3 linked regions of the Cricetulus griseus genome follow. The protein of the gene in region 3 binds, or shares a complex with, the protein of the main gene of each other region. Links are inferred from orthologs where the notes say so. Each region holds a gene or a part of one and is shown on either strand. Other genes may lie near its edges. The genes, in order: Timp2, Timp1 and Mmp10.

What was found.
Region 1: the proteins of Mmp10 (region 3) and Timp2 are in contact, whole or in part, in a crystal structure (PDB 4ILW), measured with the Homo sapiens proteins. The link is inferred for Cricetulus griseus from reciprocal best matches to the Homo sapiens genes MMP10 and TIMP2. Residues at the interface, in NP_002416.1 of Homo sapiens: Glu155, Asp169, Phe170, Tyr171, Ser172, Pro176, Gly177, His178, Ser179, Leu180, Ala181, His182, Ala183, Tyr184, Pro185, Pro188, Gly189, Leu190, Tyr191, Val214, His217, Glu218, His221, His227, Pro237, Leu238, Tyr239, Phe242; in NP_003246.1 of Homo sapiens: Cys27, Ser28, Cys29, Ser30, Pro31, Val32, Gln36, Ala37, Asn40, Ser57, Gly58, Asn59, Asp60, Tyr62, Asn64, Pro65, Ile66, Lys67, Arg68, Thr91, Ala92, Pro93, Ser94, Ser95, Ala96, Val97, Cys98, His123, Leu126, Cys127.
Region 2: the proteins of Mmp10 (region 3) and Timp1 are in contact, whole or in part, in a crystal structure (PDB 3V96), measured with the Homo sapiens proteins. The link is inferred for Cricetulus griseus from reciprocal best matches to the Homo sapiens genes MMP10 and TIMP1. Residues at the interface, in NP_002416.1 of Homo sapiens: Phe170, Tyr171, Gly177, His178, Ser179, Leu180, Ala181, His182, Ala183, Tyr184, Pro185, Tyr191, Asp205, Ala206, Ser207, Gly208, Val214, His217, Glu218, His221, Phe226, His227, Thr231, Tyr236, Pro237, Leu238, Tyr239, Asn240, Phe242, Thr243; in NP_003245.1 of Homo sapiens: Cys24, Thr25, Cys26, Val27, Pro28, Asn37, Leu57, Tyr58, Pro87, Met89, Glu90, Ser91, Val92, Cys93, Arg98, Thr121, Cys122, Cys155, Leu156, Ser157, Ile158, Gln173, Leu174, Gly177, Ser178, Glu179, Lys180.

Annotation. Positions count from the first base shown.
Region 1 is NC_048600.1:130,868,072-130,878,216, forward strand, and holds part of Timp2 (metalloproteinase inhibitor 2), read right to left. Parts: intron 6,285-10,145; coding exon 6,184-6,284; intron 3,429-6,183; coding exon 3,320-3,428; intron 349-3,319; coding exon 224-348; intron 1-223. UniProt on the Homo sapiens protein: Complexes with metalloproteinases (such as collagenases) and irreversibly inactivates them by binding to their catalytic zinc cofactor. Known to act on MMP-1, MMP-2, MMP-3, MMP-7, MMP-8, MMP-9, MMP-10, MMP-13, MMP-14, MMP-15, MMP-16 and MMP-19.
Region 2 is NC_048604.1:125,719,952-125,730,678, forward strand, and holds Timp1 (metalloproteinase inhibitor 1), read left to right. Parts: upstream 1-4,501; 5' UTR 4,502-4,657; intron 4,658-5,510; exon of another isoform or gene 5,511-5,513; 5' UTR 5,514-5,521; coding exon 5,522-5,642; intron 5,643-7,669; coding exon 7,670-7,746; intron 7,747-7,995; coding exon 7,996-8,122; intron 8,123-8,317; coding exon 8,318-8,442; intron 8,443-9,144; coding exon 9,145-9,306; 3' UTR 9,307-9,411; downstream 9,412-10,727. Other genes in the region: Syn1 (synapsin-1), read right to left, coding at 472-534. UniProt on the Homo sapiens protein: Metalloproteinase inhibitor that functions by forming one to one complexes with target metalloproteinases, such as collagenases, and irreversibly inactivates them by binding to their catalytic zinc cofactor.
Region 3 is NC_048597.1:121,933,944-121,944,558, reverse strand, and holds the start of Mmp10 (stromelysin-2), read right to left. Parts: upstream 5,444-10,615; 5' UTR 5,378-5,443; coding exon 5,273-5,377; intron 4,682-5,272; coding exon 4,437-4,681; intron 4,345-4,436; coding exon 4,196-4,344; intron 3,812-4,195; coding exon 3,686-3,811; intron 2,292-3,685; coding exon 2,127-2,291; intron 880-2,126; coding exon 738-879; intron 1-737. UniProt on the Homo sapiens protein: Can degrade fibronectin, gelatins of type I, III, IV, and V; weakly collagens III, IV, and V. Activates procollagenase.

The sequences.
Region 1 (10,145 bases), on a different chromosome or scaffold from region 3:
TATTCCTTGCCAAGGACACAACTCAAGGTTCTCTGGGGATCTGGGAACCAAAGGCTTTGTCTCTAGCTAGACAGTCTCACTCCCTTATCTTCCCAGAGTTTATTCCAAATCAGGACTCACTGTCCTGAGGGTCTGGGAAGTCAAGGGCATGTCCCCAGCTGTCCACCTGGAGACCTCGTGATGGCAAAGCCAGGGAGGGGATGAGGACACACATCCTGCTCACCTTGCACTCGCAGCCCATCTGGTACCTGTGGTTCAGGCTCTTCTTCTGGGTGGTGCTCAGTGTGTCCCAGGGCACAATGAAGTCACAGAGGGTAATGTGCATCTTGCCATCCCCTTCTGCCTTTCCTGTGTGGAGAGTCACCAGGCTCAGTGGGAGGCTCAAGTCTCCTCCTCCTGCCTTCGTTCTGCATCTGGGTGCAGCTCTGGGTTTTGAAGGTCAGCTCTAACAACACCATGGTTGGACTACTCTGAGTTTTAAAATAGCTCATGTTGGGGCTAGAGAGATGCTGATCTTCCAGAGGACCAAAGTTCAGTTCCAAGTGCCTATGTCATAATCAGGCAGATTATAACAACTGCCTGTAACTCCAGCTTCCTGGGATGACGCCCTCTTCTAGCCTCGGTGGGCACTGTACCCCCTAGAATAAATCTCCCCCTCACGTAAAATAAAACAAAACATGCTCCCAATTTTTTGGTTATTGAGACAGGGTTTCTCTGTGTAATAGCCCTTAACTGAACTAGAGCTCATTTTGTAGACCACACTGGCCTTAAATTCACTGGGATCCATCTGCCTCTGCCTCCCGAGTGCTGGGATTAAGGGCAGGCCGAGGACTCTGGCTTGTCAGGTGTTGGCCACCAGTCCAAATCCAAACAGGTGTGTTTTCAGGGGTGACACCTGGGCACACACGGACCACTTGCACCTTTTCACTGTACTAGTTTGTTCTCTTTGCATCTTTAGTTGCCCCCCATTGAGCCAATGAGATAGCTCAGTGTGTAAAGGCACTTGCTGCCAAAACTGTCAGTCTGAGTTCAATCCCAGGGACCTCATTGTAGGAGAGTGCTGACTCCCTCAAACTGTCCTGACTTCCACTCATAGGCCATCATATGTGTGCATGTGTATAAAAACAGGAAATCACCTGTCAGATTCAGTGGAAAAGAATATCACATTAAAAATTGATACTAATCTGAGCAGGGGGTGAGTATAAAACTCAGTACTAGAGCCCTGCCATAGCATGTCTAAGGCCTTGATTCCATCCTTAGCACCACCAAATATGTGTATGTATGTGTGTATGCATGTGTATGTGTCTATATGTGTGTATGTATGCATGTATATATGTGTGTGTGTGTATGTGCACGTGTGTGTGCATGTGTGTGTATGTATGTGCATGCGTGTGTGCGCATATGTATGTATGTGAGTGCATGTGTGTGCATGTGTATGTATGTATGTGTGTATATGTATGTATGTGCACGTGTGTGTGCATGTGTGTATGTGTGTGAGTGCATGTGTATGTATGTATGCATGTGTGTATGTATGCATGTATGTATGTATGTGTGTGTGCACATATACACAAAAAGAGAAGCAATTCTTCTACCTGCTATAACATGGACAGACCCTGACAGCATGCTCAGTAAAATAAGCCACCACAAAGGCATATCTACCTTGCTACAGCCATGAGCTCCCTACAATAGACAAGGTCACAGAAAGTGAAAGCAGAAGGTGGGGGATGGGGCCCAGGAAAAGACAAGAAGTGAGATGCTCTTGGCCAGTGGACAGAGATATAGTTTGGGAAGATGGCACAGTCCTGGAATAGATAGTCATAGTTACATGCTATTGTAGCTATATTTAGTGTCACCGAATCCTATGCCCAGGCATAGATATAAAGGCAACCCTATAATATGTGTTTTCTGCAGGTTTTGTTACATTCACTTATGTTGTGTGTGTATAGGTGACTGGGTACATGGATGGGTGTGTACGTGTGGAGGTCAGAGGACAACTTAGTGTTATTTTTTCTTCTTCTATCATACAGATTCTGAGGATCAAACTCAGATTGCCAGGCTTAGTGGCCAGTGCCTTTACCCACTGAGCTATCTAGCTGGCCTAGATACTAGGTTTGTGGGGTTTTGTTTCTCAAAAACAAGGTCTCACTGTGTAGGCTCACAGAAATCCACCTGTCTCTGCCTTCCAAGTGCTAGGATTAAAGACGTGTGCCACCATGCCCAACTACACTAGTGCAGTTTTTAAAACAGCACGCAGTGTATTTAAAAGTGTCTTTTATTGATGTAATTCTCTGGGGCCGGTCAGGGCACTAAAATGTGCCCAAACGTCTGGGGCAGTGTGTGTGTGATGTAGTCTAAGTGACAGGCACATGGTACCTTCAATCTTCATCACACCTGGAGCTACAGTGGAGTCTTCTCGGGCCTAGGAAACTTGCGCTGTGCTATTTGTGTGGCTTTCTCCTTACTTAGAGGAGGAGGAGCGGCCACACATGGGTGTAGAGGGACAGTACAAAACAGATGCTACATGTGGGAGCCCTCCGATGGCCAGTGTGGAAGACAGGCATTCGGCACGACAGAAAGCGCTGTCCACATACACAGTCACTGAAGTAATCTGGTCTCCCATGGGGATTGACTTCCCAGGCTTTGTGTGGACCCAGAGCCTCGCTTGTGCAGAAGACGGGCAGAGCCAGAGAGAATGCCCTAACGTGGCTCCCAAGTATACAAAACAGAGCAGCCCCCAGCTGTGCTCATCACCCTGCTGCCTTGTAGGACTCCACCCTCCCCTTTGCTCAGGCATCCACAGCCTCCTGGTAGCATCAGGGCAAGAAGTCTGGGGCAGGAATTTGAGCCTGGTTGTAGCAGTCACTGTGTGTCAGGGCTCCTGATAGTAAGGCATGGCTTACCTATCTGTAAATCACCTGCCCAGAAAGAAGCCCCTTATTGGTGTGGTAGGCTGGTTTCCATCTCATGGACCAGAAAGCAGTGTCCATGCTTGAGATGACCAAGTGGTCAGCAGGGCTGACTGACAGGTCTGGCCCCAGGGGTTGAAAATAGAGTCCGTGTGCATGGCTACCGAGGCATATCCCTCCCAGGGGGCACTAGCCTGGAGAGACGGCTAATACAGACAGTTTCGGTATAGATGAGCACCTGGGGTGTCTCTGGAAGTAGGTGCTGGCCAGCAGTCCTTGTGCCCGTGCAGCTGGGCTGGCTCGCCCCTAGAGGGCAGTGTGGGAAGCTTGTTCCTCAGGGACCAGATGACAGGACCGCAGAGGAATTCTGCTAGGGTACCATGACCCAGTACTAAGGCTGAGCTCCTACACACCTGCAATTAGATACTCCTTCTTTCCTCCAACGTCCAGCGAGACCCCGCACACTGCTGAGGAGGGGGCTGTGTAGATAAACTCGATGTCTTTGTCAGGGCCTTTGAACATCTGCAAAACACAGGGGGGCAGGAGTAAGCCGCCATGGGGTTCCCAACCAAAGCATGATGGGAACAGGGGTACATGGCTGCACCCAGGTATGCCCCCCCCCCCGTACTCCCCATCCCAAGGTGCATAGAGGGTAAACAGGGGATTCAAAAGCCACCACTGTTTTCGAGATGTGTTCAGAGTCACACATCAGCTTAGGGATATAGGCAGATCTCAGTTGGCAAACACAGCCTGCCAAGGCTTTGTCCAAGGTAATTTCTGAGCACAAGGTCATCATTTCCAAACCTCCGTATAAATTCTAGGAGATTCTCACTTGCCACAGAGGGTCACGTCTCTGTCTTCTTCCCAGGAACCGGGTTCATTTGCTTGCTTGAAAAACAAAACCAACCAACCAACCAAAGTGTATGTGTGTGTGTGGGGGGGGGGGCGGTCTTTAATCCCAGCACTCAGGAAGCAGAGGCAATCAGAACTGTATAAATTCTAGGACAACCAAGGCTACACAGAGAACCCTGTCTCCAAAAACCAAAAAGCTAAAAACAAATAAACAAAAAACCACACACTCACAAAAAGATTGTTTTTAAATTTTTTTCCTTTTCTTTTGATTTTCTCTTTTTCCCTTACCCCCATCCCTATCTTTTGGGTCAAACCTGGAGCCTTGAGCCCAATAATTTACACCCCAGCCCTACTTCCACAATTTTTCTTTTTCTGAAACTAAATTCTCACTTTGTAGCCAGACCTGGATTCGAACTCTCCATTCTCTTTGCCTCAGCCAGGATGCTGGGTTTATAGGGTTTTACTACAGCAGGCTGTTTATTTCCAGGGATCTTGGCGAAGCACTGACTACCTGATGAGAACAAGGGGAGAAGGGCTCCCCCTGGAGCCAGAACATAACCCCAGAGTCACTGGAGGGTTTCATTTATTTCTCAGCATCTGACTCATTTCAGGGGTATGCCTGCTCTTCAGGGGTATGCCTGCTGCCCCTCAGAGGAAGACACCTAGATGTGTGTGGGGGTTTCACCCCGCTCCCCTTTTACTCACACCCTTCCCGACACCCCAGAAGAGGGTTTTCGTTTGCCTCTTCCTTCCTTCCTTCCTTCCTTCCTTCCTTCCTTCCTTCCTTCCTTCCTTCCTTCTTTCCTTCCTTCGAGTTTTAAATATTTATTTTTATTTCTACTTCCATGGTGTGTTTGTGTCTGTGTGTCTGCTACCATGAGGTGCCCTCAGAAGCCAGATTCCCCTCAAGCAGGGCCGGCAGGCAGTTGTGAGCTGCCTGACATGGGTGCTGGGATCCTAATTCTGGAGGAGTAGTCAGTGCTCTTACCCACTGAGCCTTCAGGCTGCAGTCCCTCTCCAGGACAAAACGGCTTTGGGGAGCTCAGTTCTAACGCTGTAGGAAGGAAGGTTGCCAGGGCAACAGAGTCACTTCCTGGTATTAAGCCACGAGGAGGTGATGAGGTTACGCAAGCCCACCTGCTTCTCTGCCTCAGAAGGAGACTTTGGTATTGAGAGTTAGTCGTTCCTGAGGTGACACATGGGATGAGGAAGTGCTCGCTCCTCTGGCCTGTTGATAATATTTATTTTCAATTTTGGTAAATAAGGATGTCTACAACCACTACTGCATGACAAAGCTGTCCCTAACACTGGAGGAGCCAGCTGTCTTTCTTTGAATACCAAGTTAGTAAATGTCAACTACCAGAGCAGGCATGTACCACCCTACCTAGTTTTGTAATTCCAGGGATCAAACTCAGGGCTTCATGTGTGCTCGGTAAGCATGCTACCAACTGAGCCATATCCCCTGCCTCTCCCTTAACATCTCTCTCTCTCTCTCTCTCTCTCTCTCTCTCTCTCTCTCTCTCTCTTCGTGTGTGTGTGTGTGTCTGTCTGTCTGTCTGTCTGTCTGTTTCTCTCTCTCTCTCTCTCTCTGTCTGCCTCTCTCTGAGTATCTCTGTCTCTCTCTGTCTGTCTCTCTCTCTAACACTGGTTCTTCCCATTTGTCTCTGACACACAAAGTACTCTGAATATACTAGCAGACACCACCACAGCCACGACTGGGGCCATCTGCAGTTCCCCGACCACAGCCCTGTCCGCTCAATGGGCTACCTTCTCAGTAAATGGCCCACCACAGTCAGGAAGCTGCCCTCAAGTACAACTGACTGCCAGACTCTTCCTCTTATGACATGCTACCCCCAGGTTTATCACCTGGTAAAATCAAGCTAGTCTGTTTCTGGAATTAGGGTGACATGGTGGTTTGAATGAGAACGGGCCCATGGGGTCAAATATGCAAATGCTTGGTCCCCTAGTAGGTAGAACTGTGTGGGAAGGATTAGGAGGTATGGCTTTATTGAAGGAGGTCTGTCACTGAGGGTGGGCTTTGAGGTTTCAAAAGCTCATGCCAGGCCCAATGTCCCTCACTCCACCTGCTGCCTTAGGGTCAGGTTGCAAAGCTCTCAGCTACTGCTCCAGAACCATCCACGTCTGCCTGCCTCCCACCATGATGACCACGGACTCATCTTCTGAAACTGTAAGCAGGCCCCTGTTTAATATGCTTTCTTTACAAGACTTGCTTTGGTTCCTGTGCCAAGCATAGGACAGTGACTGAGGCAGCTGAAAACCTCACATTTCTGCCAGCCTTTCATGTTCTTGTGGCTTAAGGAGAACTGGGCTTCTTTGTGGCTTGACAGCTCAGCTTTCTGGCTTACGGTGGCTGGGAGGCGTTCCAGGACCCCATCCCTGCTTCCCCCACCAAACCAGGGGCTACCTTTATCTGCTTGATCTCATATTGGATCCTCTTGATGGGGTTGCCGTAGATGTCGTTCCCGGAATCCACCTCCTTCTCGCTTACTGCTTTGGCCCTGATCACTGCAAAATACAGAGACACAGATGAGGAGAGTCCCGGAGGACCAGGATTCAGGCTCTGCCCAGGGGAGGAAGGTGTCCCTCCCTACTGGAGGTACAAAGGGAGGTGGGTCTATTGCCCAAACACTGTAACCTGAGGGGGTCAGAGGAGTTGGGTTGGCACAGGAAGGAGAGGAGACTCTGTAGCTTGTTGTCCTGGGTTGGTTAGCAAGAGTTCTTTGCTGTGGCTGGGATGTGATTCAATTGGCCGAGTGCTTGACTAGTATGCACAAAGACCTGTGTTCAGTCTCTAGCACCAAGTAAAAGTGGGCGCAGTGACACACACTTTTAACCCCAGTCCTTAGGACATGGAGTCAGGAGGGTCAGAACTTCAAGGACAGCCTGGGCTAATAAAACCCTGCCTTACCAGGTGGTGTGTATATGTGTGGTGGGGGACACGCCTTTAAGCCCAACACTCAGGTAGATCTCTGAGTTAGAAGCCAGCCTGTTCTACAGAGTGAGTTTCAGGGCAGTCAGGGCTACACAGAGAAACCTCTTGTCAAAAACAAAAATAAAAAAAAACAAAACAAAACAACAACCACAAACCTGACTCAAAGACAAAATCAAAAACCAAAAAGCTGGCCAGGCATTGGTGGCACAGGCCTTTGATCCCAGAACTTGGGAGGCAGAGGCAGGTGGATCTCTGTGAGTTCGAGACCAGCCTGGTCTTCAAGAGCTAGTTCCAGGACAGCCTCCTAAGCCACAGAGAAACCCTGCCAGGAAAAACAAAACAAAATAAAACAAAATACCAAAAAGCTGGGTGTGATGACTCACACCTTTAACTCCTGCACTTGGAGCAGAGGCAGGTGGATCTCTGCGAGTTCAAGGCCAGCCTGGCCTACATAGTGAATTCCAGGACAGCAAGGGCTACAAAGTGAGACCCTGTCTCAAACAAAACCACCCCAAACAAAACCCAAACCAATGTATCCCAAATGAATCATTTGTTGACTAGGGCCATAGGCGGCTCTGTACAGCGGTAGGCTGTGGCCATGGGTCAGGTTCTTCCTACCTACTGGTGACTAGAGAAACAGTAAACAAATGGCCTAGCATATAGTCCTGCCCCTGCAGGTAGGGCTGGTGGAGAGGTGACTCTGTCATGCCAGCATCTCATCCTCAAACAGACTTTGGAGGCTCAAGAAGATGGGCAGCCATCCACCGCAAAGGAGCCTGGTTATTCAGATTTGGGGTCTCCACAGGGGTGGGGGGGTCCTGGAGCACAGCCCAGAGCAAAGCACCGGCCTAGCATTCAAGAGGTTCAGAGATCCCTCTCTAGAAGTTTCCGTGTGAGATGTCGTATGGGACAAGCGTGTGAAGGTCATGTATCATTTCTCAGGCGCCACCTGCCTTGGTTTTTGGGTGTTTTTTTTTTTTTTCTCCATTTTTATTTGTTGGGGGTGGGCAGGGTTTGCACATTGCCGGATACAGCCAACATGTCAAAGTCAGAGGACGCCTTATGGGAGTCTCTCCACCGAGTGGGTTCCAGGGATGGAACTGAGGTGAACAGGCTGTGGCAAGCAAGCGCCTTTACACACTGAATCCTGTCACTGAATTCCCCACCTTATTTTTTGAGACAGGATGTCTCATTGGCCTGGAGCTCACTGGCTGGCTTGCCAGCAAGCCTCTGCGTTCAACTGTGTCTTCCTTCCCAGTGCTGGGATTATAATCACAGGCCACCAGCCATGGCTTTGTGAGACATTCTTTAAAGTAACATGTATTCTGAGAAGCGTGACAGGCGTGGAGTCGGAATGCATATCATGCAGGCTATGGATCTGGTCAGTAGTGCTGTCAAACCTTAGACACAAATGGTAAGGAAGCAGGACATGCTCGAAGAATATCTAGGACAACAATCAAAAGAAGTGATGGGAAGGGATATACCAGGAAAGTTCCAGAATGTTCTGGAGCCTGGTCGTGCCTAGCATGGGTTTTTCTATCAGTAATTAAGCCCCTGGGCCCTCCCTGGAAACTCTACCACCAAAGCTTAGCAGATCCTCCCACAAGCGGGGCACTCCCTTTCATTACTTGGAGGTCATTAGCTGGGCCAGGGTCTGTTTTAATGGCTTTAAAAGCTTTGTCCTTCAAATGGCAGTGGCATAGGGTCACTCTGGGCACGCGTTCTGTCACTGTGCACATGAGCTAGATGGAGACAGGGGAGCAGACAGTGCCGGCTCATAGTCTCCAGCGGTCAGCTTGAGTCTTGGAAACTTCTGGCCAGGACTGTTTACCACAGAGGCAGGGAGGTCCAGGCACGTGGGAGTGCCATCTGCTGCTCAGACCCCAGCAATGTTCTCTGGATCCCTCCCCACTGAGTCTCACACCACAGCCCAGGCCCCACCCAGCTCGAGGCCCATTTACATTGGTCCTTCTGTGAGGCTGAGTCACTACTGGCCTGGCCACAGGTTCCTGTTTCCCAGCCCAAAGCAGGCTTCACTTCAAACAGCTACAACCTGGTAAAAGCTACCTGGCAGGTCACTCTAGAACAGAGGGCTCGTTTTTGGTTCTATGCCTTCCCCATAAACATTTCTTGCAAAATGCTTTCACTTAGTCGGGCGTTGGTGGCATATGCCTTTAATTCCAGCACTCGGGAGGCAGAGGCAGGCGGATCTCTGTGAGTTCGAGACCAGCCTGGTCTACAAGAGCTAGTTCCAGGACAGCCTCCAAAGCCACAGAGAAACCCTGTCTCAAAAAACAAAAACAAAAATGCTTTCACTTAAAATTCAAGCCAGGAGTGGTGGCACACACCTTTAATCTAACCACCAGGGAGGCAGAAGCAGAAGGAGCTCTGAGTTTGAGACCAGCCTGGTCTGTAGAGCAAGCCAGGGTTATACCTGCAACCCCACTTTTCCCTTGTTCTTTCCTAATCCACCCTGTTTCCCTGTCCCCCACATGCTGGGATATCTAGATATGTGCCATCTCTGAACAGGAAAGCTCTTCTCCCCAAATGTCACCTCCAGGCCCCTGCCTGGAGAACTTCCATTCATCCTGAGAAACCCTTCCTGTTTTCTTCCTGCAGCGACAGGTGTATTGCTCATCTCTAACATACTCTGCTGTAAATGTTTGTTCACCTGTCATCTGAGAGGTCATGACAAGTAGAGGCCATGTTACAGAAGACCCGGGGCTCAGAAAACAACTACCAGATGGAACTGGGCTGACTATGACGGCCTTGGGTTGACAGCATAGGCGTGCTGGCCCTTGGTCCCTCCTGTGTAATCTATACAACCATCAGCATTGCAATGTTTATGCAAATGTGTAAGCATGCCAGGTAAACTTTGGAGGCCAGGTAAACACTGTCATGTGTTTTTCTTTGAATAGCACTGTCACCTGCTCAGAAACAAGAGGGGACAGGGGTTCCAAAGGAATGGTCCATCTCCCTCTACTGGCCTAGAGAACTTGCTAGCCTTGCTTCAAGTAGTGGCCCACTATACTGTACAATGCTTCAATGTGTCTGCTAAGCACTGGGACTACAGCTCAGCTGGAGAAGGACTTATATAGCAAACATGAAGTCCTTAGCTTAAGTCCCAACACATACAACTGGACATGGCCCATGTTTGGAATCTCAGCATTCCCTAAACTATTATGGAGTTTGAGGCTAGCCTGAGCTACTTGAGACCATGTCTCAACACAAAACAACAACAAAAAGTTCAGTAAAAAAACAGCAGCATCGATCTGTTGAAGACTGGAGTTCCTGCTGATCACCAGGGCTTATCTGTAGGTCAGACAGACTCCTTGTGGTCTACATTCAAGGTTGGCCTTAGAAACCCCTGATCCATTGCTCATGGCTGCCGGAGCAAGGATTGGCTGCTGCATGGGTGCACGATTGTCAGACTT
Region 2 (10,727 bases), on a different chromosome or scaffold from region 3:
AGAATTATTTCTCAATAAAGCTGTAAAAAGAACTGTACATAGGCCATACATAGACATAAAACCTCAGTTGTACACGGAATATACAAACACAGAAGCTGAGACACACTAACTTACAAATTACAAATCTGCTTGCTACATACACACAGACAAAATCAGCTGGATGGAAAGCATACTGGACCCCAAGAGCCTGGAACATAAAAGATGATATGTATTCATCACAGAGCCATGCTTATATATTCATAGCCATATGCTTGGTACACTAGCACAGTAATGGGACATACAAAATTGGCTGATTGCATGAGAGAAATGTGGGCTGAAAAAGAAAATACAAAATCCAGTTATATGAAGGCATCACAGAAAGCATCATCAAACAGAATTTTTGTGCATTGAGTACACAGATGCACATGTAACTGTGTACAGTGCCAGAGCATGCACTATACAAACATGCATGTGTGCACCACTGTGACTCACCTTGCCCATCCCAGAATGTGCGTGGCCCATCTTCACAACCACAGGGTATGTTGTGCTGCTGAGCTAGTGAAGATGAAGGCAGAAGAGGCATAGTCAGAGCAGTAGTGCTGACCTCCAAGAGTTGGTGACCCATAGAATGTGAGCTACACTGGTTGCCATTCCCCCCACCCCCAGAAAGAGGTTGGTCAGAGACAGGCGGAACTGCAGTCAATAGTTTCACAGCGACTCTGAGCCCAGATTGCAGAAAACTGCCTGCCAGTCACTTACTCTGCTCTCTAAGTCCTAGACTATCCATATCTGCTTCCCAGCCAGAGGCCTTAGATAAGGGTGAGGGAATTTCCCAGAAAAGAAAGTTTGTTTTTATGATGATTAGCTATTGGAGTGAGTGTGTGTATGAAGGTGTGGTAGTTAGCATGCAGAATGTCTTCAGTCAAGCCTTGCATGTAAGTTTCATCTTTATGTACACACACACACACACACACACACACACACACACACACACACACACACACATCCCTTCAAAAGTGAGATTACCCAGCCAAAGTCAGAGGTGTCCACATCTATTGAGAAGTCCATATGCATTGAGAAAGACCACCACAGGCTTAAATCACATCGGGGGCTTCGAAGAAATCCAGTCAGTCAGCTCACTTGCTCTTAGCATGTGAGCACGCCCGAACAGCATGCTCTTCACACTCCTAAGACCTACAATCGGCACCTTGGAGCACACACATGAGCTCCCTCCCCTTGCTCACACCTACCTAACAGAAAGAGCCACTCATTCAGTATAGAAGCACACACAACGCTAGAAGCACACAATAAATGGACATATGCATCACTCCCCAGCATGTCCACAATGAACAGAAGGATCAAAACAACATGCAGAACGTGTGTGCACGTTTAGGCATTTCCATAACCAAATTCCTATAACTCAGACCTCATTACATTCCTGGGTCCATGAAAAGTATATCTTGATGCAAAATTATTTTTCCATATCTATGACACAAACATACAGAAAATCAAACACACAGACAACACTCCTGGGTGTGGACATAAATGCAGACAATTATGAGTTAGGTAAAGATGTGTTAAGTTTCCCTATAACCTGGGCTGGGTAGAAGGGACCAGATTAGAGGACCCTAGCCCCATCATATCCCGTGTATAAATTCAGAGCCCCTGCCTCCTACTGACAGGGCAGGGAATGCATTCTTAGAGGGGTTCCTGGGCAGTGGCAGTTCCCAAGAAGCACAGGAAGCCCCATAGTCTAAGGGTGACTGATTGACCTTCAGGTCTCTCCCTCCCTCTACAACTTCCTCCTCCCTCATTTCCCAAATGTGTGTCGTCATGAGGATGGGGGGAGGGCTGAGTGGCATGGGTTTGGAAAGGGGGATGGCGGTAAGGGTGTCATCCAGGCAGCAGGCCAAAGAAACAATGCCAAGGTATGTGTTGCGTGTGAGAAGAGAGAGATCTCCCACTCAGGCGTCTACTCATCACACAGAGAAGTATGAGGCATGCACAGTTATATTTGCAACCTTCAACTCTCAGAAGAAACACCCTTAGATATATGCCTGGCTCTCAGGAAGGGAAATTGAGCCCACCAAGGGACACATGCCAGTCACAGAGGCACAGACACACCAGAGAGCTGTGCACATGCAAGCATACCTACTTCTACTTGCTGAGCTTTCTGGATCCTTTTTATAAACCAACTTTGTTTCCTCTGTTCCTGAGCTTGAACACAGTGCTGTGTGTGCATGTAAGTGTGTCTGTCTGTCATATGTACATACAGAGGGCTTGGGATTTCCTGGAGAGCCGTAACCTGCTATCTTGGCCTTCTTCCTAAGGCCGGGTGAGATCCCGGGTAGATACCATCTCTCTGGGCCTCAGTTTCCTGATCTGCACAAAAGGTATAATCAAGACCAAGCACTTAACACTTTCTTGGGGATCATCAGGTATTTGCACATGCCAGTGAATTCCTCACACTTACCCAGTTCCCCAGATAGAGACAAGCCAAACACCTTGACATCCACCCCACTGCATTTCAAACCTGCACAACAATCAAAATCCTCACATGTAACCAGTTGGCAAAAGTGGGCTGACTCAGGTTTTATAAAGAGCTGGTGTCAGAAGCAGGGTCATAGAGGAGAGACTGGACTTTCCCTCTCTTTACTTCTCCTCAGTCCCGCCACCTACTTACTCAGCCCTGTCTCATCTACTCTCACTCCTCACTTTCACAATCAGACAGTTGAGAATTTTGGTTTCCTTTCCTTTGTTCCTTTCTTTGTATCCCTACCTCCCCACCACAGTGATTTCTTCACTATCATTCCTGGACAGGCCATTTGACCCCTTTCTGTCTCTATTTTCTCATTAAATAATGAAAATATGAATTGTAACTCACAGGCATGTTGGGAAGAATAAATCAATTACTTCAGAGGGGAAAAAATCTTAGTATACACATAAAGTAAACCCGAATCTTCAAAGTGCTGGTTACTATTATCGCTGTTATTACTGATTTGACAACTCTTCATTAATTGACATTAAGGGAGAATGAGGACAATAGCAAATGAAGGAACAAAAAATCCAGTGCTTGCTGCCTGACAACCTGAGTGTGAGTTCGTAGGGAAGGAGAGGACTGGCTCCTGCAGGTGGAGAGCAATACAAGCATGAGTACAGCTACACACACACACACACACACACACACACACACACACACACACTGAATAAATATAAGAAATCTTTTGTATATGGTGAGGGTTCTGTTGAGTGCTGGCAGTAGGTTTTTGTATGCTGTGGTTATTGAGCTAATCTAAATTAACAAAATTTAATTAGCTAAAATGACTGTACACAAAGATCTTAGCAATAGTACACAGTAAGTGCTCAACCAAGTAGCTGCTGTCATCACTATCATTATCATTTTGTGTGTGTGTGTGTGTGTGTGTGTGTGTGTGTGTGTGTGTGTGTGTGTGTGTGTGTGTGACAAGGTCTCACTATGTATGTTCCAGGCTGTCCTGGAACTCACTATGTAGACCAGGCTATCCTCAAACTCTCCGGATCCACTTGCCTGCTGGGATTACAGCCATTGTCATTACTATTGGTCTACCCTGCCTGGATTAATTGAGGGTGTTAATCATCCCATAGAACCTTCCACACGACCCCAGAGAATATCCCTGCATCATCAGGAAGCGGGTGGGCAGTAGTTGCCTCATCCCACCCCACCAGGGATGTGGGCTGGTTGGTGGGAAAGGAGCTGGGCAGGATGGGGTGGGGATGGGTTTTCTACTGACTCACTAGCTTCTTTCACCATCATCCACACCCTCACTCCCCCCATTCTCACCACACTATTCCCTGGTTGCCAAGATTGGGCTCCGCCTGAGTGAGGATCTCAGTGTCAAGAAGCCCAGGTTTAAATCCCAGTTTTGTTCTGTGACCCTGGCAAAGTTCTTCACTTCAGCTATTTGCCTGCTTGATTTTGTTTCTGCTTAAGACAGGGTCTCTCGTAGCACAGACTATCTTCAAACATCCTAAGTTCTAGGCTCACTCATGTGTACAACCACAGCAAACTTTTGGGGATAGGTTACCACCTAAGCTCTATCTGCAGGCCACCTCAGTTCCTCTCCCAGTTCTGACACACTTAACTGCCATCTTCAAAAAATAACAGACACTCTCGGTGAATCAATTTCCTCACTATGTATTTGTGTCTCTTCTCCCATCTCATGGCCCTCAACTCTTTTTCTAGTTTGTCTTCCCCTCTGCCACCCCTCAACAAAAACGCCAGGTCCACTAGGAAAGCCGGCCTTGCAACAAAGTAGATGTACTAAGGCGCAGGAATGAAGCCATTGGCTTCAGCCATAGGAAGTTTGGGGAATGTAGGGAACTGGATAAGCACAGGGCTGTGGGGGCTTGGGCTGCCTTTCCATTTCCCCTTCAAGGCCGCCAGGGAGGAATGCGAGTGACGTGGAGCTGGGGGGAAGGGGCACAGTGGGCTGGCTGGCAGTGGAGGGAGTATCTTTAGGCCGGTCCTCCGGCCCGCCCCTAGGCTTCGATTCCTGCGGTGGGTGGATGAGTAATGCGTCCAGGAAGCCTGGAGGCTGTGATTTCCGCGCCAACTCCGCCCCTTGCATGGACATTTATTCTTCACCGCTCAGTCCCTGCCGCCATCGCCGCAGATCGGGCTTCTAGAGAGACACCAGAGGTAAGTGGGAGCCGGGTGTCCTGGCTGGAGCCTGTGTTGGTGCGACCACCAGGCACATCCGGTTCCCTGCCAGACTAGCTGCTTGACTGGGCTTGCAGGTATCAAGACCTCTATTTGGCCAAGGGGGAATACGAAGGGAAGGTTTTTGGAATGAGTATCCCAAGCTAGACTCTCCGGACTCCCTCATGCCCCTAGCATTCATCCCCAAGTGCTCCAAACCCACAAGCCTCTAATGCCTTAAAGACCTCCCAACTTGCCAACTCCTCTGAATTTTTCATTGTTCCCCCAAACCCCTATAGCTCCCTTAACTCCCCCTGCCCTCAAACTTTGCCATGTCCAGCTCCTGGAACTTCAAAAGTTCTTCTGCCTTCAAATTCCTCAACACTCCCATTACCTTAAACTCCCAAATTCCCCCAGACCCCATAACCCCTAAATTTCCCCCAGTTTCCTAAAATCCCAAACCTCCTCTAAAACCCTTAGTAGCCACAAATCCCCATGCCCATTATATCTTAATCTCCCTCAGCTCCCAGCCTCCCCTTATACTTCTCCAGTTTCCCAAACCCCAAATTCTTGACTCCACAAATGTCAGTCTCCAGACTTCTCCAACTCCACTAAATTCTCAAACTTCTCAGCTCCTGGACTCATCAACTGCCACAACTCCATTATCTTCCTATTCACTGTCTCCTAAATCACTGGAACTCAATAAAACCCAAAACTTTCCCAACTGTTTAAGCCCCTAAACCTCTCCAGGTTTCTCACCCCTTAAGATTCTCAGGGTTCCCTAATCTCCCTAGGGCCAATGGGTAAACAGATCAGTTGGGCTGGGGATCAACTACTACCTTGTCTCTCCCAGCAGATACCACTATGGCCCCCTTTGCATCTCTGGCCTCAGGCATCCTCTTGTTGCTATCACTGATAACCTCCAGCAAGGCCTGTAGCTGTGCCCCACCCCACCCACAGACAGCCTTCTGCAACTCCGACCTGGGTGAGTCTAGCCCCCTTTCTGTGCCTCTTAGTCCAATAGGGCTCATGATGGCAGTTATCTCTACAACAGTTGTACTTACCCTTGCATAGATCCACTTTGGCCATATTGACATCCTTAGGCCTAAGCCCACCTTTGTGTTGGCTGTTCCCTCCCAGGTAGATATTTCTCTGTAGTTATTCACATGGGTGGCTACCTCAAGAGTCATCTTACTGGGGTGCCTGTCTACTTTGTTTAAATTTTAATCCCTGCCATATAGTACATCTGATTCCCTGTTAAATAAAACTGTGAATTACACTTCTTAGGGCACAGAAAGGCAGACTTTATTCAGGACCATGGCAATCAGATTTTTCAGTCAGGGAGAGAGATTGGGCTTAACTCTCAACATAGCATAGGCAAATGGAACTCTACAGCCAAGGAACAGTTTAGGGATTGGTGACTGGGAAATCACTGAGAAGAAATATCACAGGCAAGGAGTAAAAAGATTCAGGCTAAGCCCATTTTTTAAAAAAAGATTTATTTTTGCTGGGCGTCGGTGGCACACGCCTTTGATCCCAGCACTCAGGAGGCAGAGGCAGGCTGATCTCTGTGAGTTCGAGGTCAGCCTGGTCTCCAGAGTGAGTGCCAGGATAGGCTCCAAAGCTACACAGAGAAACCCTGTCTCGAAAAAAAAAAACAAAAAGGTTTATTTTTATTTATGTCTATGTGTGTGTGCACCATGTGTGGTGTGCAGGTGCCTGTGGAATCCAGAAGGCATCAGATCCCCTGGAGCTGGAGTTACAAGTGGTTGTGAGCCATGCTATGTGGATGCTGGGAATCAAACTTGGGTTCTCTAGAAGAGCAGCAAGTGTTCTGAACCATTAAGACATCTCTCGAGCCCATGAGCTCACTTTTTTGAGAGTAGGTCTCACTATGTAGCCCAGGCTGGCTTTGAACCCTTCATCCTCCTCACTCAGCCTTCCAAGTGCCGAGATTACAGGCCTGTGCCACCATACCCAGTTCAGGACTCTTGCTGAGAACTGGCCAGTGTAATCACCTGATGGTCAGTGGAAAATATGGAGCCCCTTCACATATCGAGGAGAGTCAGATGAGGGTGGGTTTTTCACTAAACTGATTTAGTATACTTTGGTACAAGTGGATTTTTCTTTTTCTTTTTCTTTTCTTTTCTTTTCTTTTTTTTTTTTTTTTGGTTTTTCGAGACAGGGCTTATCTGTGTAACATCCCTGGCAGTCCTGGAACTCCTATCTGTAGACCAGGCTTGCCTCAAATTCACAGAGATCTGCTTGCCTCTGCCTCCCGATTGCTGGTATTAAAGGTGTGAACCACCACCACCTGGCATCTACAACTGCATTTTTAAGAGAAACTGCACTTATAAGCTTGGAAGAAGGTTAATGAGCCTGAGTAAATTGTGGTCAAGCAAAGAATATGTGTCAATCTCCTCCCTTTTCTAATTCTCCATCATACTTAACAGCCTTTAACAATCCATATACCTTTTTCTCCATACTGGGGATTGAACCTAGGACTTTTCATATGCTAAGCAAATTGAGGTACAAACCCAACCCTTTTGTGAATTTCATTTTAAAACAGGGTCTCACTAAATTGTCTAGACTGGTCTTGAACTCACACTGTAGTGGTCCTCCTTCATCACCTTGACAGAGCTGGGGTTACAGGTTTGTGCCACCATGCCTGGCTACTTAATTTTAGTTATATCCTCCTGGCTTGAATGTGAGATCCACAAGGAAATGGATTCCTGTGTTTGGGTCACTGTTGTGTCCCTAACACCCTGAACAGTGGCTGCATATATCAGGCACTCCAAAATATTTGTTGAGAAAGCCAACAGATGGATATATGAAAAGTGCTTAAAACAGTACCTGGAAGAGTAGACAATGTATAGATGAATCAATCAACAGACATGGAAACATGGAAACCATTAAGTGTGCTGTCTCTATTAGAATTATGCTTGTATATATGTTTTGCTGTTATGGGTTCATGCTGCTCACTTAACTCCTTATTTTCCCCTTCCTTTCTAGTCATAAGGGCTAAATTCATGGGGCCCCCAGAAATCATTTTCAACTTATACCAACGTTATGAGATCAAGATGACTAAGGTATTCCTTCCTTCCTCCCTCCCTCCCTTCCTCCCTCCTTCTCTCCCTCTCTCCCTCCCTCCTCTTTCCCTGTCTCCCTCCATAGCCATATTAACCTCTTCCTCCTCCTCAAAATACTAGCATCTAGCCTTTGGTTGGTGTGGACGTTTCCCATAATTTTGTGATTTAGATATATGACATCAGGTTAAGAGGTAATGGAGTGGGAGGATTAAATCAGTAAAAGATAGACTTTTTGTCACTCATGGGCAGATGCTCAAAGGATTCGACGCTGTGGGAAATGCCGCAGATTTCCGGTTCGCCTACACCCCAGCCCTTGAGAGCCTCTGCGGATATGTCCACAAGTCCCAGAACCGCAGCGAGGAGTTTCTCATCGCGGGTGAGGCCCGCCCCTTCGCTTTGGGCCACACCCCTTCATCCTCAGATGCTTCCTGGCAACTGGGAGGAGCGAGGCTCTAAAGGGAAAGGACCTGGTTGAAATGGGGGCGGGAAGGTTTGTAAACTAATGCTAATCAGGTAACCCCAGCACCACCCGGCCAATCAAAAGCCTGTTGGTTTCTCCATTCCCTTACAGGACGCCTAAGGAATGGAAGTTTGCACATCAGTGCCTGCAGCTTCTTGGTTCCCTGGTATAGCCTGACCCCTGCTCAGCAAAAAGCCTTCTCAAAGACGTATAGTGCTGGCTGTGGGGTGTGCACAGTAAGTTCCTAGAACCAGCTCTCTTTCTGGAGATAATACCTGGAACGGTTTCTTTTTCCCTCTGGCTATTCTTTGTTATTGTAGCTGCTTCCCAAACCCAACCACTGCCTTTAATTTCTCTTGTTGTCCCAAACCTGCTCTTTTGGAGATACTGGTTGTTCTATTATCTTGGGACTGCATGTTCCCTGAACCTTCTCTGCCTCTCTAACTTTTCTTTTGTGTCTACTCTGAAATACTGCTGTCTGTTTCTGATCTCCCAAGATTGGGTTTGGCTTCCCAGGCATGTTCTGCAAGAATTCAACGTGTGATTTTCCAAATCCACAGGGATATGTCGACCTGGCTATTTCAAAACTGTTCCCTGACAGCAATAAATATCCTCTGACCTCAGTCACTGTCTGAGAGCCCCGTTGCCTATTCTTATGCTTAACCTCTCTGCATGCCAACTGTTACCCTCTACTCAGTTCTCTGCCCTGTGAGGCCTGCCTGAGTGACTTCAAGAGATAGTTTCCTACCCACCATTCCAGAACACTGGCTTTCTGTTCCCCAAATGGGAGAAGCTGTTCTCGGGTCTAAACACAGGTGGGGCAATGTCAAGCCTTCCCAGCTGCTCTGTGTTGCCAGAAGGAGAGTGGAACACTCTCCATAGGGGAGGGAACAGGGGAAGAAGAAGCCCCCAGAGTGGACCTTTCTCTCATCTTCCAGGTGTTTCCCTGTTCAACCATGCCTTGCAAACTGGAGAGTGATACTCATTGCTTGTGGACAGATCAGATCCTCACGGGCTCTGAGAAGGGCTACCAGAGCCGTAACTTTGCCTGCTTGCCTCGGAATCCACAGTTGTGTGCCTGGCAATCCCTGAGGGCCTAGATGACCCAAAGCCTACCCCCAGTGGAAGCTGAAGCCTGCACACTGCTCCCCTCCCCTCCATCTTTCTTTCTTTTAGACAGTGAAATAAAGAACTACCACACAGCAGTGCCGTTTCAGTGTAGTGTCTGGGAACAAACTCAAGACAATGATAACCTGGTGGGAGCATCCAGGGTCCAATGAAAAATGAATCCATTTGAAATGTTGAGTTTGGAGGCTGGAAATGTAACTTAGTGGTAGAGCAGCTGTTTTTCATGTACAAAGCCTCAGGGTCAATCTCTAGCAAAAAAGAAAGGAACAAAGGCCAACCTAGTCTACAGAGAGAGAGAGAATTCTAGGACAGCCAGGACTACATACTACCCTGTTTCCAAAATCTGAAACAAGAAAAAAAAAGGAAAAAGTGTTGGGTTTTTATACTTTACAAAAAAATAATATATTGGTAATAATCTAAACATTGGCATTAGTACTGGAACCTGAAAAATCAGTAATGATTACTCACTTTGCATTACCAACTCCAATCTATTGAATATTTCTCTACTCAATACTTTGAGACATCTTAGTACAGTGATTTTTTTTTTCAATTAGCAATAATCGCGCCTCGGATAAACCTCATTGGCTCCGATACTGCCACTGTGCAAAGCTGATTATTATTATTTTTGTTTCCTTTTTGTCTTTCTCTATGTGTTAATGTGTACCAGTAAAGGCTTATACATGCCATGACAGTCAAATGACAGCCTTGGGTGTCTGACCTTACTTTATCTGAGACAGGGTCTCATTGTTTACTGCATACAGCAGGCTGGGATTCTCCTTTCTTCCAGTTTACAAACAGATGCAAATTACCACTGCCCAGCTTTGTGTGGATTTGGGGATTCAATTTTAGGTCCTCATACTTGCATGACAAGTGCTTTATTCACTAAGACATCTCTCCAGCTCCATTTTGCACCCCTTTTTGAGACAGGCTGGCCTCTCACACTTGCTGTAATTCTCCTCCCTGTTTCCTGATTGCTGGGATTATAGACATTTGCCACCACACCATGCCTACTAGAGAAATTTCTAATTCCTACTTGCCCAAGCTTCTCTAGTTAGTAAATTATCCAGTTGAAAATTCCCCTATTCACAAATATCACCCCATTGACAAATTCATTGAAAACTGCCCTATCAATCTCTCCTTGCCTCTGGCATTATCCTAATGTAGTCTAGTGAAGATGCCTCATCCAAGCTGTTATACTTCCTAAATCTGACTTAAGTGAAAGGAAGGGGATCTAGCTACGTTGCCAGCTAGCTAGGGACTCTGGAAAACAGGATATACCTAGACAGGTCCTGAGTTCAATTTCTAGCAATCATATGGTGGCTCACAACCATCTGTAATGAGATCTGGTGCCCTCTTCAGGCATGCAAGCATACATGTAGGCAGAACACTGCAT
Region 3 (10,615 bases):
AATGGTGATTCGCCTGTCCACAGCAGCACACAAATTGTCCCACATGTGATTCCAGGTGTTGGAGACAGCCAGGGTGACAGGGATGTAGTCAGCACCCTAGAGAACCCTGTTCCAGCTTGATCCCATTCATAAGTATGTAAAATAGTATATATTGTATGAATCTGTTAATATTTTTAAAATGTTGTATACCCTTTTAGATGTGAGCACGTTGGTAAGGTGGTACAAAGAAAATTGGTAGCAGTAGATACACACAGGCAGGGATATGGGACAGCAGAAATGGAAGGGCTTTTTCTTCTGTCTTTTGGTGCTATTCAAGTATTGTGCACGTGTATGTATCACCTTTTCTAAAAGGAGTTCATTGAAATAACAGCACTTTCTAGCAAGAGTAAAGATACTTGTCTGGTCCTAAGGATGGCTGGCACTTTCAGAAGTTCCATAACTTATGATATATAAAGACTGAAAGATAAAAATAAGAGATGAAGTTCCCTGATTTTATGCATCTTTTAGTCTACTGACCAAAAATCATCTTCTGGGAGCCTAGAAAGAAATATGCTGGATAATTCCAATGGGATCTTTAAAAATGCAATATATACCAGAGATGTTAAAACATGTCAGAAATATTTTATAATCATATTACATTTACTATATAAATACATTATATATAACCCCAAGTTTATTTTCCTTTCTGAGCATTGAATCAAAAAAGTAGCTCGGGAAATAGAATGTTGCATTCTAACCTGTCTTTAAAGAACAGCAGTTCCCCTCGCAGGGTGCTGACTGCATCAAAGGACAAAGCAGGATCACACTTGGCTGGGGTCTCAGGTCTTGGAGAGACAGAGGACATGGGTACCACTGTGGCATCAGAGGACGGATGTGGTCCTGAAGGGAACAGGTTAGGGGAAGCAAATGTTAGAAGATCAGGTATGCATCTAACAATTTACACACTGTCCAAACTTCTTCACCTCTGAGTGGACACGGAGAGCACAGTAGGAGCCATCTTGTCCTCAGGTACACCCCAAGCATTGCCTTCTGGCCATTTCATCCTCTGGCTTTCAGACCCAAAGCTTCCTCCCTAATAGTCCATCCATACTCCATAGCTCTTTGTAAATGCCTGAGTGCCCCAGCCTTAGAAGGGCTTCTTTTTTCTTCTTTTTTTTAAAATTTAAATTAGAAACAATCTTATTTTTACATATCAATCCCAGTTCCCTCTCCCTCCCATCCTCCCCCATCTCTCCACCCCTCCCACCCACTCCTCAGGGAGCTTGAGGCCTTCCATGGGGCGATTATCAAAGTCTGTCACATCATTTGGGGCAGGGTCTAGATTCCCCCTCCCCTGGGAATCTAGGCTGAGAGAGTATCCCTCCATGGGGAGAATGGGCTTCTAAAGTCCATTCCTACTCTAGGGCTAAATGCTGGTTCCACCACCAGAGGTCCCATAGAATGCGCAGTCCTCCTGTCACCCATGTTCAGGGGGCCTGGTTCAGTCCTATGCTGTCAGACTGGGGTCCTTGAGCTCCCATATTCTCAGGTCAGCAATTTCTGTAGGTTTCCTCTAAGGACTTCTATTCAAGTCTCGGGATCTCCTGACAACCTGCATGTCATCTGGAGTCACCGTCACTCAAGGCTCCTAACAGGGTTTTACAGACATCAGGGAAGCAGACTATCATCCCGTTCAGACAATTCCATCTTCTTGCCTGCAAGTTACTCTTCTCTCCTTACAGAGACATAAATTTGAGCAGGGCACACTGACATATGTCCTTGTGGGCTCCCATTACTTCCAATTTACCGCATTTGAGATAAACTCAGTCTGTGGCCTTGCTCAGCAGTCATCCACTTTTTAAAGACTTGTATTGCCAGTTTCTCTCCTGATCATTTTTTGTGCTCACCCTCATTTTGTGGAGTTTTGGGCTTGGGAACTTCTTAAAGCACCAAGCCTATGTTAGTTTCTGACTCTATCAATTTTATATTTCTCCTGGGTCATACGGGCTGAGGTAAAGATGAACTTAGGATCAACCATTCACATCTTACTGCTTGCTATTAATGACATGTGCAGCATTCTAAAAGAACACCGACAAGAGCAAGCAGGCAAATAAAGAAGACTCTCAGCCAGATTTCCTCATGCTCACCATAGAGGGACTGAATGCCATCTATATCATCTTGAGAAAGCTGGAACTGTGCCGGGCTGGTGGACAACCTGTAGACGGGGTACATCAGAGCTTCTTTTTTGTCTGAGTGAAAGAGTCCCAGGGAGTGGCCAAGCTCATGAGCTGCAACCAGGAATAAGTTGGTCCCTGTTTGAGAAAGCACAAACCTTAAAGTCTAACAGTTACTATTGCACAGACACGCACACACTATTCCTGCCAACCGCACAGGGCACCCTTGGGATCACACACTGCCTTCTCCTCATTTATCAGCTCACTGCAATCACTGCACACTCCATCACGTGTCTTTCATGGTTAACTTGAAGTCAGTGTCTAAGACAGTTTTTCACTAGTTGCTCTCTAGAAGTCTCCTTAGTCAGAATATTAGTTCACTATTCCTGTATCAATGGTGGCAAGTCCTGTTTCCAAAAGAGATTTCTTTGGCAGGACCAAGATGAATCTCATGCCAACAAAAATAAATCTTTATTGTCTAGAAATCAGAAACCATTGTTAAGATTTAGTAACAAAATAGTTTTAACCATACTTTAAATCAAACACAAGCTCTTTATATAGTCTTCAACCTCTTAAGTAACAAAACTATGGGGAATTTCATCACCGTCATCAACTTTTGATTGTTATAAAAATGTTTACAAGAGAGGTTAATGGGAATAAATATATTCACAGTGCATGATATATATTTATGAAACCATAAAAAACTACATTTTGGAGAAAATCCACTTCCTAGCAACGGGTGCTGCATGAAGGGCATAGGTCCCAGTATAAACAGAAGCATGTCCTCTGCCTGTTTCTGTGGTGAACACAGCTGGACTCAGTTGCCTCGCATTATGAAAAGCTCTGTTGGTGCTGGTCATTGAAGCAGAGGTTCAGGCAGTTACAGGGAAGAAATATTGATCATGTCCCGTGGCATTGCTGCAGATCTGCACAATTAATAAAGACTGCTTCATATTAACAGTAACCCCACACTTAGAAACCCAGAAATTGTGATTGTTTCAACAGTCTGTGTCCAAACTTCAAATGCTGTTTACAAATTTTAAGTAGAGTGCAGTTAATGGTAGCCAAAACGTTTGGGGAGGAGAAAGGCTTCCAAGCTAGCAAAGGTGGCATTTTTATTTAAACAGAGCATCTTCCTTTAGTTTCTGGCATTTTCTCCAAATCATTGCGTTTAAAAAGAAAAGAGGCAAATGAGAATTCAAAGTCAAGGGCAACTTTTGGGGTCTTAACCTACTCAATAGCACTCATTCAACACTACTCTTTTATTATTGGGGTGGTAAACAGTAGTAACTTACAACACACTTAACCCTGTACAAGATCCTGAGTTGTCAAAATGACAGTAAATGGCACCCACTGTTTTGTACTTGGGGGGTGCAAAGAAAGAAGCAGTTTACACAGTTTGTTAGTAATTAGATGAATAGGGCTTCAGGTTGCCACACAGATAATCAGAGATTGAAGGTAACAGAACATTCTGTTTGAGTCTTGCTCTAGACAAGTTATTCTTGGAAAACTCATATCTAAACTCATCCTACCTGATGGTCCAAGTGTCCATTTCTCATCATCATCGAAGTGAACATCTCCATAAAATCCAGGCCCAGGTGGGTAGGCATGAGCCAGACTCTGTCCTGGTCCATCAAAAGGGTAAAAGTCTCCATGTTCTGATGGGAAACAAATTTATGGAGATATAAATATAAGACAGCACAGGAACTGTGTGGTCTGAACACTGGTGTCCCTCAAAGTCTTCATGTTGAAATGTAATCTCTAATGTGACAGGATCACAAGGCAGCTCCTGTAGAAGATGCTCAGGGTATGATGCTCTCTGATGGGTGGTGCCTAGGTGAATGAAGCTGAGGGAGTCTCTTGGCCACTTCTGCTACATGGGGAAACAAACTGAGTCTGCAGCCCCTTTATTGTGTGTTTCTAATTTTTTGGAACTCCAAGCAATACCTTTCTGTTGTTTACAGATTTCCCAGTGTGAGGCATTTTGTTTTAGTAGCCTAAACAACTCGAACAGCAGATGAGTGACTGTACAACTGCATTACCTCCAGCTGCGAAGGAGATCATTATGTCAGCCTCTCCTTCAGAGCGCCTGGAGAATGTGAGTGGGGTCACCTCTTCCCAGACTTTCAGTGCTTTCTCAATAGCAGAGTCCACACTCTCTTTCGGTAAATCTGGTGTATAATTCACAATCCTGCATGAGAGAAGAGGAAGAAGGCAGTGTGTGCTGCTCGATGACTCTGACACAGTGTTAACACATGTGAAAACTTCAGACCCGTTACCTACCTGTAGGTGAGGTTTGTTTCCCTCCACTTTGGTGAACCTGGAAAGGTGGTGAAGCCACCGACATCGGGGACGCCACACCTGGGCTTGAGCATCACATCCATAGTGCTGGAGTCCAGCCTCCCTGTCACCTCCAGCCCGAGGAACTTCTGCATTTCTTGGATTTTTTTGACAATGGGACTACTGTCCTTTCTTCTAAATACTTGTTTCTCATTTTTTTCAAAGTTGTAGTACTTTTCTAGATATTGCTAGTTGGGTGACAAGTACAGTTTTAAAGCTGTGACTGTGGATTTTAAACCATTTATACAAACCTCAAAATCCATTTTAATTATTCCCAGTCTATTGAAACACAAGTAGGTGTCATACCTAATTTGATTTTTTTTTCACTAAAATGCCCCATTTTATTATTTCATTGCAATTTAATATGCTACCAAGGCAAGGAGACCAGCATAGGTGTGTAAGTGCATTACATGAATGCATCTAAGTTTTCCCATTTCCATTATTAACATAGAGCTGTTAATACTGAATGGTGTTAGATAAATTCATTTTTTCACACATGAAAAATTAGAGTATGCATAATTTCTTGAAGTAGTAGAAGATAAATAATTCTGAAGCAAGAGAGACTTCAACCTCCCTATTGTCTCTTCTCAACTTGTGCCATGGCCATTGGTATCCACCTGCCCTTGCCTCTATTTCCCTCTCTGTAAGGATGGAGATTCCATCTCTCACTCTCTCATATTTTCCAACACAACTTCTAATCAAGTCGTCTACTCCTGTTGGAAGACCAACGAGCTACAGTTGTCCTTCCACTGGAAGCTGATCCCTCACTTGCTGCTTACCTGAGCAAGATCCATGCTTGGGTGGTCTTGCCTCACTGCTCCATGCAGAGGATATGCTGAAGAGACTGGCAGGCACAGAAGCACCAGGATGGCCAGTGGCTCCATCCAGACAGCCTTTACTTTAAAATGCACTCCTTCTCTAGCTCCCGACTTCTATACCTTCGTTTTAGTGGCCACTCTTTTATAGGGAGTCAGTGTTTAGGTCACTAATGACATGACTCACGTGTGTGTTATTTTTAATCTGAATGACTGCATGCTCATTCACAAACACTCAGCATGAAGATGGAATAGATTACATCAGAGAATCCCTCAACCTACTAAACTTGAAAGAATGTCTAATCTCAAGGAAGTGGTTTCTGTGTTTGTAAAGAGGAAAAGGAACTGACTGGAGAATTAATGTTTTTAGAATATTTAGATATTTTGAAAACAATGGTTTTTGTTTGGTTGGTTGTTTTTTCTCTTTTAAAAACATGCATGAGGCTCAAATACATGCAGACAAGGAGTAAATACATTAATAATGAAAGACCCCAGGAAAACTCAGGCCTCTAGGATCTCAGCCCAGGACTAAGGTCACCCCAATCACCAGGCAGATTCAAAAGCTTGATGCAAACTGCACGAGGCTTTATTGTTGTTTAACGAGCTAACCCCATGTTAGCTCGGGGTCTTTCATCCATCCATCATGGTGGATGGCTACAAAAGACATCTCAAACCGGCTGCATAGAGATCTGTAGGGCAGCCTAAGGGGAGTGTCTAGGGGTACGCACAGGCTCAGGATTGGTGTGCCTCCAGGCTTGGAGGGCTTGCCCTGTGTTGATTGGCCAACTGGTTGTTATGGCCCATAGGCCCTCCCAGGGTTGTTGCTATGCTCTGCGTGTCATTGCTGTGCACTTGTCCATAAAGCACACCCAGAGCCGTAAAGCATGGCGCCACCAGCTAACTTCTGATTGGTTCCTTGCCACGAGGTAGGCATCTGACTTTCTAGTGACTAGGACAAGGTCAGACAAGCATGTGTTCAGCTGTTATGGCTGCCAAAAAGGGCAGGCATCTGACCTTAGTGACTAAGACAAGGTCAGACAAGCTGTTATGGCTGCCGAAATGGGGAGCTGTTCCCTTCAATGGAAAAATATTCCAAAACTAAGTAGAAAGATGGCTATCTAGGAAGATATAAGGATGGGAATTTTTTGAGTCCTTGAGTATAACAGGTATTATTGATTTTTCAGATGGATTTACTGGCCCTTGGGAGAGGGTGGGTTTACTGTGAGAAGGCAGCCAATATGGAGGAGGCAAGGTCCAGAGGTGAAGCTCAGGCGTCCACCCAGGCTCCATTTCCTGACGATGTCTTCAGTCTCTGTTTCATGATGATGGCCCCATGAAGACTTATCAAATGGAAGTCAGTTAATTGCATATTAGATGAAGATGCTCCTTCCCTGTCTTTGCTTTTCAGTTTTTATCCTTTCCCTTCTTCCGAAGTACAAATGATTGAGGTTTACAATGGTATTTCCAGTCCTTTCTCTTCATGTAACATTACCCATTAAAAATATTTTCATTCCTTCCCTTGGCCAAGTTGAGTGCTCCTCAAACACAGAAACTCTGCAGTAGCTGTTAAACCAAAATTAGCTCTTCAAAGAAATATTTAGCCTGGCATTGGTGGCACACACCTTTAATCCCAGCACTTGGGAGGCAGAGCAGCCAGACCTCTGTGAGTTTGAGGCTAGCCTGGTCTACAGAGTGAGTGCCAGGATAGGCTCCAAAATGTACAGAGAAACCCTGTCTCAAAAAGCCAAAAAAAATAAAAGAAAATATATTTTTATTAACGTATATGTGTAAATGTTTCTCTGTGTATATATCACATTTGTTCAGGTGCCCTCAGAGGCTGGAAGCGGGAGTCAGATCCCTTGGAATGGAGTTACAGGTGGTTGTGAGCTGCCCTGTGGGTGCCAGGGACTTGAGCAAGTCCTCTGGAGGAGTAGCCAGTGCTCTTAGCTGCAGAGCTGTCTCTCCAGACCCACAAGCTTGGTTCTTAGTATAGAGGTCAGAGGGTGCCAAAATGTTTGAAGTACATTTTTCTTCCAGTGAAAGGGAAGTAATCCTACCATGTCTAAAGTATAAAATTCAAATTAGTGGGATAGAAACAAGTAAATACAGGAGCGACTTTTTTAGTACCATCTACCTCCTTACCACAGGGAGGCATGTCAACAGAGACTTCCATAAACCAGGAGACTCTGAGGCCCCAGAGCTGCAGCTTGTGAGAGGGGTGCATGCCCTGGCCCAGCAAAGTCAGCTTGTGACTTAGCATAGGTACTACATAGACAATAAGTGAATCTGAAAATCAGAGGCAAAGATGATGGTTAGCAGACTCCTCGGATAAAGTCAGCTAGACTTGAGCAAGTACACAATATAACACATGATCACTTTTCCTATGATGTGGAAACCATCACTAAAGGTGTTAGTTTTTATGTGTACACCATACTGGGAACAAAGCTCCTTTTCATTTTATTCCCGTGTCTTTAACAGACACAGCTTGTTCCTACAGATTCCTAACAGCCCTGAGGTGCTGACTTGACAGGTTCTGAGCTGCCTAGTGTTTATTTGAGTCATATCTTTGTTGGTGTTGGCACACCCTGCCAGTGGTTCCTGTGTGCCCAAGAGCTATGGCTGTGACTGTAGTTGAGTAACCATGAAAGGACGTGCCTCCCAGGAGGGATTTTGTTGGATAAAATTACTCTACTTTAAGCCACCACACCTGGAGGAGATTAATGATTAAGGCTATGGAGTCCTGATTGTTACCTATTAAATTCACTGAATATTTATGCAGTAAAGCAAGCAGGGGCATATTCAGTTCAAGGAAAGTTTCAATTCAACCCTCAGAACAGGGCTCCTATATGTGAGATTTTAAGTATGCACGCTTTCTAATCTGCATAAGAACCCAAGAAGATTGAGACTAGAAACAAAAAACAGGAATGAACTCAAGGTCATCTAGCTAACCACAACTTACATGAAAATAAAGGCTGGTTATGATTGCAATTCCAGCATGGCAGGGGTGGGGTGGGTGGGTGGGAGGTGGGGGTGGTGGTGGTGGTGGTGGTGGTGGTAGGGAATCTCTGAGCTTCACTGGCCAGCCTGCTCAGACAATCCAGTGAGTTCCAGGCCACTGAGAGATGCTGTCTCCAAAAACAAAGAAGAAGAAAAAAATAAGGAAAGAAGGAAAAAAGAAGAAAGGTGGCTGGCATATAAAGAATGAAAACTGAGGTTTCTGTTTGTGGTAGTTTGAAGAGGAGTAACCCCAACAGACTCATGTGTGTAAATGTCCAGCCCAAAGGGGGTGGCACTATTAAGAGGTGTGGACTTGTTGCAGGAGGTATGGCCTTGTTGGAGGAAGTGTGTCACTGTGGACACAGGCTTCGAGGTCTTATAAGCTCAAGTCTGGTCAATGTGAGACAATTTCCTTCTGCTGCCTGCAGATTAAGATGTAGGACTCTCAGCTCCTTCTCCAGCACCATGTCTGCCTGTATGCAGCTGTGTCCCGCCATGATGATGTTAGACCCCTGGAAAACTCAGGTATCCGGGGTAAGGCCACGACCTCGGTCACCCCAATCAGCAGACAGATTTGAGAGCTTGATGCAAACTGCATGAGGTTTTATTGTTGTTTAATGAGCTAACCCCATGTTAGCTTGGGTCTTTCACCCACCCGCCATGGCGGATGGCTAGAAAAGACACCTCGAACCTGCTGCCAAGCGATGTTGTAGGGCAGCTTCACAGGCTTAGGATTGGTGTGCCTTCAGGCTTGGAGGGCTTTCCCTGTGTTGATTTCCCAGGGTGGTTGCTGTGCTCTGCACGTCATTGCTGTGCACTTGTCCGTAAAGCACACCCAGAGCCATAAAGCATAGCACCACCAGCTAACTTCTGATTGGTTCCTTGCCACGAGGCAGGCACCTAACCTCTTAGTGACCAAGGCAAGGTCATAGCGAGCATGTGTTACTGTCATGGCTGCCAAAATGGGGGGCTGGTCCCTTCAATGATAATGGACTAAATCTTGGAAACTGTAAGCAACCCCAATTAAATATTATTCCTTTAGAAGAGTTGCAGTAGTCATGGCATGTCTTCATAGCAATGGAAACCCTAAGACACTGTCTGACTTCCCCAGATGTATGGACATGCACCCACACTCATAAGTGCCTCAGACACCATTATATCCCTTTTCTAATATATACCTTATAGTCTTATGGAAAACTGCCCTCTGGGCCTTGCTAAGGACCAGAGTCTGGTGCAGTGTGCTTAATTTCCATGTAATAAAGCTCCAGTCTCCCTGCACATTCTAGCTGCTAACTCAACACTGAGACAGAAGTTTTGATCTTTATATCATTTACTATGGAACATCACTGTGTGCACGATGTGAGGTGCCAGGTAAACAGCACATGGGAACAGCTCCTGGATTCCTTTTGGAATGCCAAGTCCCAAGTTTTAGGTGCCCATTTCAATAACTCCTTTCTTGTCCAGCCTTGTAGCCCTGCCACGTACATCATAGCCCAGTGTTTGGGACCCACTCTGAGCACTGCACCTCTGTACTTGATGATAATTAATAAGGTCTAGGTGCCATGATGTCTGTGCTTATGAGACACATCCTGCTGTAGATGATCTCCACAAGAGTGTAGAAATTTGAAAATTTTGGATAGACTAATTTTCTCATGAGTATTTTTCATATTGTTTGTTTTCCATTTCAAATTTGAAAGAAATAACATTTATAGGTGAGGCTTTATAAACATGTAGTAACAAAATAGAAATAGAAAGCTTATAAAGCATTAGAGACAAAAGTAGCTTTATTTTAAGTATCAAATCTTTATTTTGTACAAAAAAATTCTTATCTGGGCATTACGGGCATGCCTGAAATCCTAGCATTTGGGTGTCAGCGGTAGAAGAGGTGTGAGTACAATGCCAGCCTGGCCTATAAGATTTGTTTTAAAAAACAGACCTAAAGCATCAATGGATTTTCCTCATGTAGAGCTATTCGTGTGTTCAAGAACTGCCTTTCTTCTGGGAGAGTTTGTCTGCTGACCCTTCTCTCTTGAAAGGAGAGGCCTAGGGTTAATGTCAGAGTCAATGGCCTTCTTCAATGAATTATCAACCAGGAACTCGACCTTGTTGGGCTGTCAATTGTGGCACTAAACTGTTTTAAAACACTGAACTAAAACATGCAAGATGAAATATAAAATATATAAAATACGAAAATATAAAAGGCAAAATATAAATACAAGTGTGCTTAGTAGCTCTGTATATCAACAATTCTAGAAGGTAGATAAATATAAAAATGCTTGACTCTTCAGAAGAGCATCTTCTTTTGCATCA